3 linked regions of the Callithrix jacchus genome follow. Each later gene encodes a partner of the first gene's protein in a complex. Links are inferred from orthologs where the notes say so. Each region holds a gene or a part of one and is shown on either strand. Other genes may lie near its edges.

The links.
Region 2: the proteins of XIAP (region 1) and CASP7 are in contact, whole or in part, in a crystal structure (PDB 1I51), measured with the Homo sapiens proteins. The link is inferred for Callithrix jacchus from reciprocal best matches to the Homo sapiens genes XIAP and CASP7. Residues at the interface, in NP_001158.2 of Homo sapiens: His136, Ala137, Leu140, Leu141, Gly144, Gln145, Val146, Val147, Asp148, Ile149, Ser150, Asp151; in NP_001218.1 of Homo sapiens: Tyr230, Trp232, Arg233, Ser234, Pro235, Gly236, Arg237, Trp240, Glu274, Ser275, Gln276, Asp279, His281, Phe282.
Region 3: the proteins of XIAP (region 1) and CASP3 are in contact, whole or in part, in a crystal structure (PDB 1I3O), measured with the Homo sapiens proteins. The link is inferred for Callithrix jacchus from reciprocal best matches to the Homo sapiens genes XIAP and CASP3. Residues at the interface, in NP_001158.2 of Homo sapiens: Ala137, Leu140, Leu141, Gly144, Gln145, Val146, Val147, Asp148, Ile149, Ser150, Asp151, Thr152, Ile153, Tyr154, Asn226, Leu231, Gly232, Arg233, Asn234; in NP_001341706.1 of Homo sapiens: Tyr204, Trp206, Arg207, Asn208, Ser209, Lys210, Asp211, Trp214, Gln217, Lys242, Thr245, Glu246, Phe247, Glu248, Ser249, Phe250, Phe252, Thr255, Phe256.

Annotation. Positions count from the first base shown.
Region 1 is NC_133524.1:119,628,224-119,631,723, forward strand, and holds part of XIAP (E3 ubiquitin-protein ligase XIAP), read left to right. Parts: intron 1-2,640; coding exon 2,641-2,740; intron 2,741-3,500.
Region 2 is NC_133513.1:106,634,765-106,638,264, reverse strand, and holds part of CASP7 (caspase-7), read right to left. Parts: intron 1,856-3,500; coding exon 1,740-1,855; intron 1-1,739. UniProt on the Homo sapiens protein: Thiol protease involved in different programmed cell death processes, such as apoptosis, pyroptosis or granzyme-mediated programmed cell death, by proteolytically cleaving target proteins.
Region 3 is NC_133504.1:6,755,016-6,758,515, forward strand, and holds part of CASP3 (caspase-3), read left to right. Parts: intron 1-329; coding exon 330-454; intron 455-3,320; coding exon 3,321-3,449; intron 3,450-3,500. UniProt on the Homo sapiens protein: Thiol protease that acts as a major effector caspase involved in the execution phase of apoptosis. Following cleavage and activation by initiator caspases (CASP8, CASP9 and/or CASP10), mediates execution of apoptosis by catalyzing cleavage of many proteins.

The sequences.
Region 1 (3,500 bases):
AGGGCTCCTAAAAAGTAAATAGATGCCTTTAGCCCCCTGAACTGGTAAATATTTAGGTATAATTTGGCATGATTATACCTATATTCATCTTATTCTGTGAACTCTTATGTTGAACCTGTAACGTAACTACTGAACTTATGTGAAAAAGACTACCATATTATGAGTCACATTTCTCTTCATGTAATTGTTTTTAGGAAGTAATAACATGCAAAAGATGGTAGACATCTCCAATAACAAAATGGGTCCAATAAAATACTTTGATTTATTGAGCACCTATTATATGTGCACAGTATGTATACTTCATGCATTTTCTCTAAGCTTCACAATTTTTTTTTCTTTTCTTTTTCTTTTTTTCCTTTCCTTTTCCCTCCCTCCCTTCCTTTCTTTCCTCCCCTCCCCTCCCCTCTCCTCCCCTCCTCTCCCCTCCCCTCTCCTCTCCTTCCCTCCCCTCCCCTCCCCTCTTCTCTCCTCCCCTCCCTTCTCTTCTTTGGGATTTCACCAAGACCAGGATGGTCTCAATCTCCTGACCTCATGATCTGCCCATCTCGGCCTTCCATGGTGCTTGGATTACATGCATGAGCTACCACACCTAGCCCATAATAACTTTAATAATTTTTTTTTTTGAGACGGATTGTTAGTCTTGTTGCCCAGACTGGACCACCTGGCCCACAATAACTTTAATAACTTTTTTTTTGAGGTGGAGTTTCACTCTTGTCCAGACTGGAGTGTAATAGCACAGTTTCAGCTTACTGCAACCTCTGCCTCCCAGGTTCAAGCAATTCTCTTGCCTCAGCCTCCCGAGTAGCTGGGATTATAGGCATGCACCAACACGCCCGGCTAATTTTGTATTTTTAGTAGAGACAGGATTTCTCCTTGTTGGTCAGGCTGGTCTCAAACTCCCCACCTCAGGTGATGCGCTGGCCTCAGCCTACCAAAATGCTGGGATTATAGGCGTGAGCCACTGCACCTGGCACTTTTTTTTTTTTTTGAGACAGAGTCTCACTCCATTACCTAAACTGAAGTGCAGTGGCATGATCTTGGCTTACTGCAACCTCTGCCTCCTGGGTTCAAGCTATTATTGTGCCTCAGCCTCCTGAGTAGCTGGAATTACAGGCACATACCACTGCACCTGTATAATTTTTGTGTTTTTTAATAGGGACAGTGTTTTACCATGTTGGCCAGGCTGGTCTCAAACTCCCGACTTCAAGTGATCTGCCCACCTCAGCCTCCCAAAGTGTTGGAATTTCAGGCGTGAGCTACCATGCTTATCTTCCCAATAACTTTATTTATTTATTTATTTTTTTGAGATGGAGTATCACTCTGTCACCAGGCTGGAGTGCAGGGCGCAATCTCGGTTCTCTGCAACCTCCCGCTCCTGGGTTCAAGCAATACTCCTGCCTCAGTCTCCCAATTAACTGGGACTGCAGATGCGAGCCACCACACCCAGCTGTTTTGTATTTTTAGTAGAGACAGGGTTTCACCATGTTGATCAGGATGGTCTTGATCTCTTGACTTGGTGATCTGCCCACCTTAGCCTCCCAAAGTGCTGGGATTACAGGTGTGAGCCACCGTGCCTGGCCCACAATAACTTTATAAAAAGAGCTAACATTAGAGAGTTTAGTTTGGCTCATGCTGTAGTAAAATTGACATCTGCCTTTAGTACACAAAGTATATATATGGAAGCTGCCTTGTATTATGCTTGGTGCTTCATATGAGTGCTTTTCAAATGAACTATGGTAGACATGCCAGGAAGGGTCATTGGTGTAATTGCTTCTAAAGATATTTTTAAAAATTATGCCATTATATATTTGACCCATTTATTTTAAGATTGAATAATTCCTATAAAATATTGGTTATTTCAAAAGATTTTTATTTATGTACCATTATATAGTAATCTTGAAGGTTTGTTTAGTGTCATGTGGCTATAAACTTAGGGAAACTTATCTCATAATTCCATTATGTAGAACTTTAATGTTACTAACACTTGGAAAATAACTTGTTTTAAAGTTTCACAGTTTGAAACAGTAGGTACAATATTGGTGGCCCAAATAACATACTAAAAAGAAAGTATGCTGGGTGCAGTGGCTCACGCCTATAATCCCAGCGCTTTGGGAGACCAAGGTAGGCGGATCATTTGAGGTCAGGAATTCGAGATCAGACTGGCCAGCATGGTAAAACCCCGTTTTTACCAAAAATATAGAAAATCAGCCGGGTGTGGTTGTGCATGCCTGTAATCCCAGCTACTTGGGAGGCTGAGGTAGGAAAATCACTTAAACTCAGGAGGTGGAGGTTGTAGTGAGCTGAGACTGTGCCATTACACTCCAGTCTGGGCAGCAGAGCAAGACTCAGTCTCAAAAAAAAAAAAAAAAAAAAAGAAAGTCGCAATCTTAATTTTGACATAAAACTTGGACAGTTTTATTTTTGTTCTGTAAAAATACCTCAGATTGAATCAGTGAATTTAGTATTTCTTCCTCAAATGATAGAGATTGTAAGTGTTACTTAGATGTGAATTTGAATGTCTTGTTTTAAGCTGTGAGATTTTCATGTTTTTTAGATGTGCTTAATTTTTAGGTGTTAACTGAATATTTTTGTGTAAGCTTCTAGTCGCACAAATACATATATTCTTGTATGTTTTCTTAGGTGACAGTGATAAAGTAAAGTGCTTTCACTGTGGAGGAGGGCTAACTGATTGGAAGCCCAGTGAAGACCCTTGGGAACAACATGCTAAATGGTATCCAGGGTAAGATACTCAATTATTCATTCATTCACAGGCAAATTGGATAGCATGCAGTGGGAGACTTGAATTACTTTTTGCCTCAACGATTTCTGCCTTCACTATGGCTTGAAATTCATGCCAGATTTATAAAAATGAGGAAAAAACCCACCTAAGCCTTCTCTGATGACCAAAACATCCACTGCTTATGTATCACCAAAACATCCACTGCTTATGTATCATATCTATGACATTCAAATTATCCCATTTATTTTTTATTTTATTTATTTACTTTTTGAGACAGAGTCTCACTCTGTTGCCCAGGCTGGAATGCAGCGGCACAGTCTAGGCTCACTGCAACTTCCGCTTGTTGGGTTTAAGCAATTCTCTTGCCTCCGCCTCCCAAGTAGCTGGGATTACAGGCACCCACCACCATGCCTGGCTAATTTTTGTATTTTTAGTAGAGACAGGGTTTCACCATGTTGGCCAGGCTGGTCTCGAACTCCTGACCTCAGGTTATTGGCCCGCCTCAGCCTCCCAAAGTGCTGGGATTACAGTTGTTAGCCACCGTGCCTCGCCAGATTATCCCATTTTTTTTTTTTAGTTTTTATTTTTGAGACGAAGTTTTGCTCTTGTCGCCCAGGCTGGAATGCAGTGGCCTGATCGTGGTTCACTGCAACCTCCGCCCCTTGTGCCTCAGCCTCCTGAGTAACTGGGATTACAGGTACCTGCCACCACGCCCAGCTAATTTTTGTATTTTTTAGCAGAGACGGGGTTTCACCATGTT
Region 2 (3,500 bases), on another chromosome or scaffold:
GAAATTCTCAAAAAGGGTTGGGAAGAGTGAAATGTTACATCTTTTGCAACTATCTTGACAAAAATGTGTATGTTATTTTAAAATATATAAGAGAGCACACAGCTTTACATTATTTTGAGGACATACAAGCAAAGGCATTTGAAGACCATTGCTCTAAGGAGCTTTCCCTGGGGAGTGGCTTGGCCTGCACCAATTTCTCATGGTTTTGTGAAGTCTCAGGAGTCAGAACTATATTTTCTGGTCACTTCACTGGATATTCTTGACTCTATTTGGCAAACAACAGAATCTGGGTCCATAGCATTGGGGTTCTCCCACTTTTCCAAGTCCTATGTGGGATGATACGACCCAAGGTCCACTCTGGGGTGCTGGGAGCCTGGCTGCTCCTCCCACCAGCTCCTCCCCTCCTGAGCACTGCCTGGGAGCACTCCCGAGCCTCAGCCTTTATCCCCGTGGCTATCTCTCCCAGTAGGACTTGGCTTAGGGAATGCAAAGAAGTGCGATGCATCTGACTCACACTGCCTCTTTTCTCTTAGGAAGCTCTACTCACTGCCCATCCAAGATCAAGGTTAAGGGAGGGTTTGGGGTTCCTCCATATCCTTTTAGCTCTATTTTCATTTTTTATTTTAAAAAAAAAAACAAAACTTGTTTTTCAAGACAGAGTCTCAGTCTCCCAGGCTGGAATGCAGTGGTACAGTCATGGCCTACTGCAGCCTCGATCTCCTGGACTCGAGGACTTGATCCTCCTGCCTCAGCTTTTCTAGTGGCTGGACTACTGGCATGTGCCACCACACCCTGCTAATTTTCTTATCTTTTTTTTGTAGAGATGGGGCTCTCATTATGTTGTCCAGTCTGGTCTTAAACTCCTGGGCTCAAGCAATCCTCCCTCCTTGGCTTCCCACAGTGCTGGGATTACAGGAGTAAGCCACTGTACCAGGCTAGTCCTACTCTTAAATGGAAAGCACACAGCAGAACCTTTAAGTGAGTGGTGCTGCCATTGTTTAGTTTCTCATCTTAGCTTTACCATTTACTAACTATCAGCAAAAAGGCAAGCTATTAAACCTCATAGTGCCTCAGTTTCCCTACCTGGTGATAACAATAAACCCAACTGCGCAATTGTTTCCCTATCTGGTGATAACATAAAACCAACTGTGCAATTACGTAGACTGAATGCAATGATACCAAGCATGCATACAAGAGTTTAATCAATGAAGCTATTATATTATTAAATGCAAAATTTAGAATTTTAAAAGTGAACTCAAGAAAGGAAAAGGTGGGAATTAAAATAGGATGCAAGCCCCCTTCCACCAATGGAGTGCCTCAGGAGGCACAGGGTGGGAGTGAGTCACCCTAAAACCTCCTGCCCCTCGGCCCCTGGATTCTGTGTTTTTTGTCAAACCTGGTCCCACTGGCAGCAGCAGCCCAGGCTCTGTTCTGAAGGTGCCTGCAAATCACCTCTAATGAGAAAAGCCCCTTATTCCTGGGAACTGCTACCAGACACTCAGCTGCTGAGCAGGAGCCTCCCAATGCCTGGTTTTGCCCATTGCTGGGCTTGGCCCACAGAGAAGAGGATGTACATGAGGACCCCAGTGTTGCTGCATACAGCTAGCAAGAACCTGTGCAAACCTCTCGTGCTCAGCAAGAACCTCCTTCCCTGAATGTCCTTCTCCCCATGGGTGGGTGGAGATGGCAGAGGCATGGCAGGATGATGCGGTCCTGAGTGTCTGATTAACGAAACTTACCTGAAGAGGGTTGGTAAAAATGAGGACCGGTCTGGCTTAGCATCCACTGAATCTGAATCTTCACTTGCTGAATCCACAACTTCCTGCTCTTCAACACAGCCCTGATCGTCTGCCATCTGGAAAGAGAAAAAATAAGCCACAAGGTCAGTGGCATCACTGGCTTTGTGATATTTTTAAATGACACTCATTAGGTGACATGGTTTTAGATTATGCCTAGGGGTGAGCCGTTTTGCATATTTAAGCTTCAGGGTTATTGCCCCATTAATGCATTCAAGTAAGTGAATATGCTTACATCCCAGAGACTACATATGTGGCAGCAAAGAAAACAAAGTCTTTGACCTCAGGGAGCTTCTAATCCAACATCCACAATTTTGTTGTATGTTCACTGCATACAAGAAACAGTGGAAGATTTGCCAAGGTTTACAACAATGAAAAATTCCCCCTAAATTCCTAGCAGGTCACTGAGTGCTCATACACAGTTCAAAAACAGCGACAACCTGGAGTATTAGGCTCTTTCTATGTCAGATGATTTTACATAGTTCTATACAAAATAGATTTCCATCAAATTACATTCCTGCGAGAATCTTCAAGAGATCCCCATTAACTACAAGTTCAATCCATCTCCTTGGATTTTAAGGCATAAACCTCCTTCCCTGAATGTCCCCCTCCCCATGGATGTGTGAAGATGGCAGAGGCATGGCAGGCTGATGTGGTCCAGAGTCCCTGATTAGTCTGGGAGTCAGCATACCATGGCCCAACACTTGTTTCTGTAAGAAGTGTTTTACTGGAAAACAGCCATGTCCATTCATTTATGTATTGCCTCTAGCTATTCCTGTCTACAAGCAGAGTTGAGTGATTATGGCCACAAAGCCAAAAATATTTACTACCTGGCCCTTTCCCACCCCGCACTCTGTCTTCATTTCCCACATAGCCTTTGTATGTGGCTTGTTTATCTGTACTCTGCTATTTGGCTCCCATACGACAATGTAAGTTCATCATAGCAGAGGTAGCTGGAACACAGACTTTTTACTAAAATATTTAATTAAATGGAAGCCTGGATGAAACACACACCCTAAGGGAAAAGAATTAGCTAAAGGTGATGCAGCTGGCCCAAGGCAGAGCCAGTATTGGAATCATTTTTTTTTTCTTTGAGATGGAGTTTCACTCTTGTTACCCAGGTTGGAGTGCAATGGTATGATCTCAGCTCACTGAAACCTCTGCCTCCCAGGTTCAACTGATTCTCCTGCCTCAGCCTCCCGAGCAGCTGGGATTACAGGTGCCCACCACCATGTCTGGTTAATTTTTTTTATATTTTTAGTAGAGACGGGGCCTGGCTGTTGGCCAGGCAGAGGTGGGCAGATCACGAGGTCAAGAGAGCAAGACCATCCTGGCCAACATGGTGAAACCCTGTCTCTACTAAAAATACAAAAATTATCTGGGTGTGGCAGCACATGACTGTTGTCCCAGCTACTTGAGAGGCTGAGACAGGAGAATCGCTTGAACCCTGGAGGTGGAGGCTACAGTGAGCTGAAATCGTGCCACTGCACTCCAGCCTGGCAACAGAGCGAGACTTTGTCTAAACAAATAAACAAAAAAGAAGGAAGATGGAGACATTACAATAATGTCTTTTGTAGTAACTTGGATGGAGCTGGAGGCCATTCTAAGTGAAGTATGTCAGGAATGGAAACCAAATATCATGTTTTCACTTACAAGTGGAAGCTAAGTTACGAGTACGCAAAGGCATACAGATTGGTATAACAG
Region 3 (3,500 bases), on another chromosome or scaffold:
TAATTTTTAAATTATAAAGGTATTTGGTGAAATTTTTAAGAATTTAGAGGAAAATGTAAAACATGGAAGCTAAAAGCCTGAACTCGGAAGTCCAGCAGATACTTCCCTTCCTTCTTGGCTGTGGCACAATCTTGGCACATTTCTTAGCCTCATGGCAGGTCATTTGCTCATGTGGAACATGTGTTGATGTGAAATTGTAATGGAGACAGTCTGGTTTATAGCACTCAACAAGTGTTCACTGTTACTGTGAGTTATAGAAATTGCACTAATGTAAACAGAAAGCATGGTCATTTCTACCTTTGTAAAGCTATTATTTGATTTTTAAACAGAAAGATCATACATGGAAGCAAATCAGTGGACTCTGGTATATCCCTGGACAGCAGTTATAAAATGGATTATCCTGAAATGGGTTTATGTCTAATAATTAATAATAAGAACTTTCATAAAAGCACTGGTATGTATCTTACATTATGTTTAATCTTTTTTAAATATTTGTGCCATTTACATTTGCTATAATATTGAAAGCAGTATTGCGGTATTATTAGTCATTAAACTATGACACAGACTAGCTGTGAAGTAGAGACCGGGCAGCACGCTCAGGCCGTGTGATGCACTGTGACACTGTGAACTGTCTCCTCTCCCGTCAGCTGGTTTCCTGTCTGTATGCTTCTTCTGTCCTGACTTCTCCACAGTCTTTGCTGCTTTTTCGCCTTTCTGCTCCCTCTTTGATTCCAACGGAAGGTTTTCAAAAAACAGTTGAGTAGTAGTATTTATTTTTTCCCCAGAAATTTCAAGACATATCACAAGCATTGCCTTCTTTAATTGTATGACAACCGGAAAGAAACAATTCCATTCTGAGAGGTTTTTAAACCTTGCACAGTCAGAGCAGGTAGCCTGGTGGCAGAGCTCAGTCTGCGTCACTCCAAAGCCCGAGCTCTGAATGCATCTCCTGTTCTGCTTCACCTCCTTGTATCTTCATGGGCTCTATTGCCTGTCTTCTCTTACCCTACGAAGCTGACAGAGATTGCCCATCTTAGAAAGATCTTTCTTTTATCCTGTTCCTTTTAATTCCTTTGATATTTATCTTCTTCCCTTCTTGCTTAAATTTTGAAAACATGTAGTTTAAGCTTGTACTCTTCACTTGTTCCAGTCCTTCTAGAGTCTTTTTCTATTTTGTCTCTACCACTGACCTGCTCTCTTTAAACATACCATGGCCTGACCACCAGATAGAGCCCCCTCTTGGTTTCTGTACTCGAATGTGGTACTACATTTGAGAATTATATATTTTTTAGAAATATAGATAATAAAATCCTTCACAATGCCAAAAAAGCTAATTAACATTTGGTGTATTGATATTTTTACTTGACAGTTTTTTTAAAGCTTGATTTTATTTATAACATGTAAGCAATGTTGTATTCTGCTTGTTTCACTTAAAGTAATAGCATTTTTTATATTGCTGCATAATTTTTATATCTGTTATAACGATTATATAATACCGCATCCCCAAAATACACCATTCACTTAATTTGCATAACTTACTATATAAATGACCCTTATGGCTGTTTCCCTTTTAAATTGATGCCGTGACAATTCTTTGAATTGGCATATTAATCATATTAGAGTTAATTTTTAGTTAGAGAAGCTATAGTAGATCTAATTTAGGACAGTACCTTTCAGAGTCGTGGTGGAAATGAAAGGAAGCCAGATTACACTGGGAAGACAGCAGGGCCTGTGTCAGGTTAGTTGTAAGGAGTGATGAGATAATGGAGCTCTAAATGGAACTTGTATTGCTTTCGGCTACAAGTTGAGATGCCGCCTTCAACCGCAAACTTAAAAAACACAACACCTTGTTTACTTTTGCTTTATACATATGTGAAAATTTAGTTCTAGATAATTCTGCCTTACGTTTATCTAGTTAGGATACCTTCTTCCTGTAGAATTTCGCATTTGGATCCATTGTTTAAAAAACCAAAAACAGGCATATCATTTCTCTACCACCACCACCTCCCCCACGTATTTAGACCAGCAATCTGGGTTTTGCCCTCAGTGAGTTCCTTTCCTAGTTTGCAATGTAAAGTCAGGTTCTCATGAGATCTCTGGCAGGCTGGGATTGGGCCAGGTACCATAGCTCATGCCTGTAATCCCAACATTTTGGGAGGCCAAGGCTGGAGGATCCTTGAGCACCAAAGTCCAAGATCAGTCTGAGCAACACAGGGAAATCCCATCTCTACAAAAAATAGAAAAATCTTAGCAGGGTGTGGTAGTGCGCAACTGTGATCCCGACTACTCGGGAGGCTGAGGTGGGAAGACAGCTTGGATCCGGGAGGTCGAGGCTGCAGTGAACTGTACTCTGGCCCACAGAGCATGACCATGTCTAAAAAACAAAAAAAGTTTTTAAAAAGGCAGCCAACACACCAGCACCAGAAGCCAGTGACCTTGTCACACAGCTGAGATAATCAACAACATTTTGGAGATGTGTATAGACTTTTTGTATCTAGTCTTCATACACCTCAAATTTACTCAATTCTGAGGTGTGTTTCCCACCAACATTTCAGCGTTTTGAAGTCTCAGTGCGTCATGCAGTCAATCTGTACATGAATGTGGAAGGTTCTTTAAAGGAGTGGTAGGAAGGCCAGGAGCCCTGGATAGAGGCCCAGCACCACTCTGTCACTCTGGGCTAGTTTGTTAACTTTACTGCATGTCCCACATCTGCACACGTGAAACCGGTAATCATACAGCTCTTACGGTGACGGGAAGGATTAAAGATTACCCACTGCAGAATATCTGATGAGCAGTAACAACGTTTGGGGGTTTTCCTTGAAGACACTGTGAATGTTATAATGCTATCTCCAAACCGTTGGGAAGCTAGAGTCAGAAACGCAGTTCTTCTGAGTGTGATAGATAAATGTATGTATTATAGGATCGTATTGTTTTCTAGTTTTATTTTTTTAAACAATGATGATTTCCCCATGGCAAAATTTTATGTTTGAAAATGACAACATAGTATATCGCATTATATAAGTGAGTATAATGTGTCTAACCAAACCCCTATTGTTAGACATGTACGTTGTTTCTGTTTTTTACTACCTAAACAGCTATGAAAGATATCTTGGCTATAACACTAATAAGGTTATGGTTTCAAGTGTCTTACTACAAAATTGAAGAGATTTTATGTCACCATGATCAAAATAGTTAGAATTCTCTTTCATTTGAAAGGAAGAATTTATTGTGGACTTTTGAATTGCTGAGTAGCTCATTTCATGTCAAAGTAGTTATTCTTTGTTTTCAGTATAATTAAAAGCGCTTCTTTCTGTTCCAAGGAATGGCATCTCGGTCTGGTACAGATGTGGATGCAGCAAACCTCAGGGAAACTTTCATGAACTTGAAATATGAAGTCAGGAATAAAAACGATCTCACACGCGAAGAGATTGTGGAACTGATGCGTAATGGTAGGAAACAAGGGTGAACTTCTAAAATATGAGAATTGTGGAATTATATGA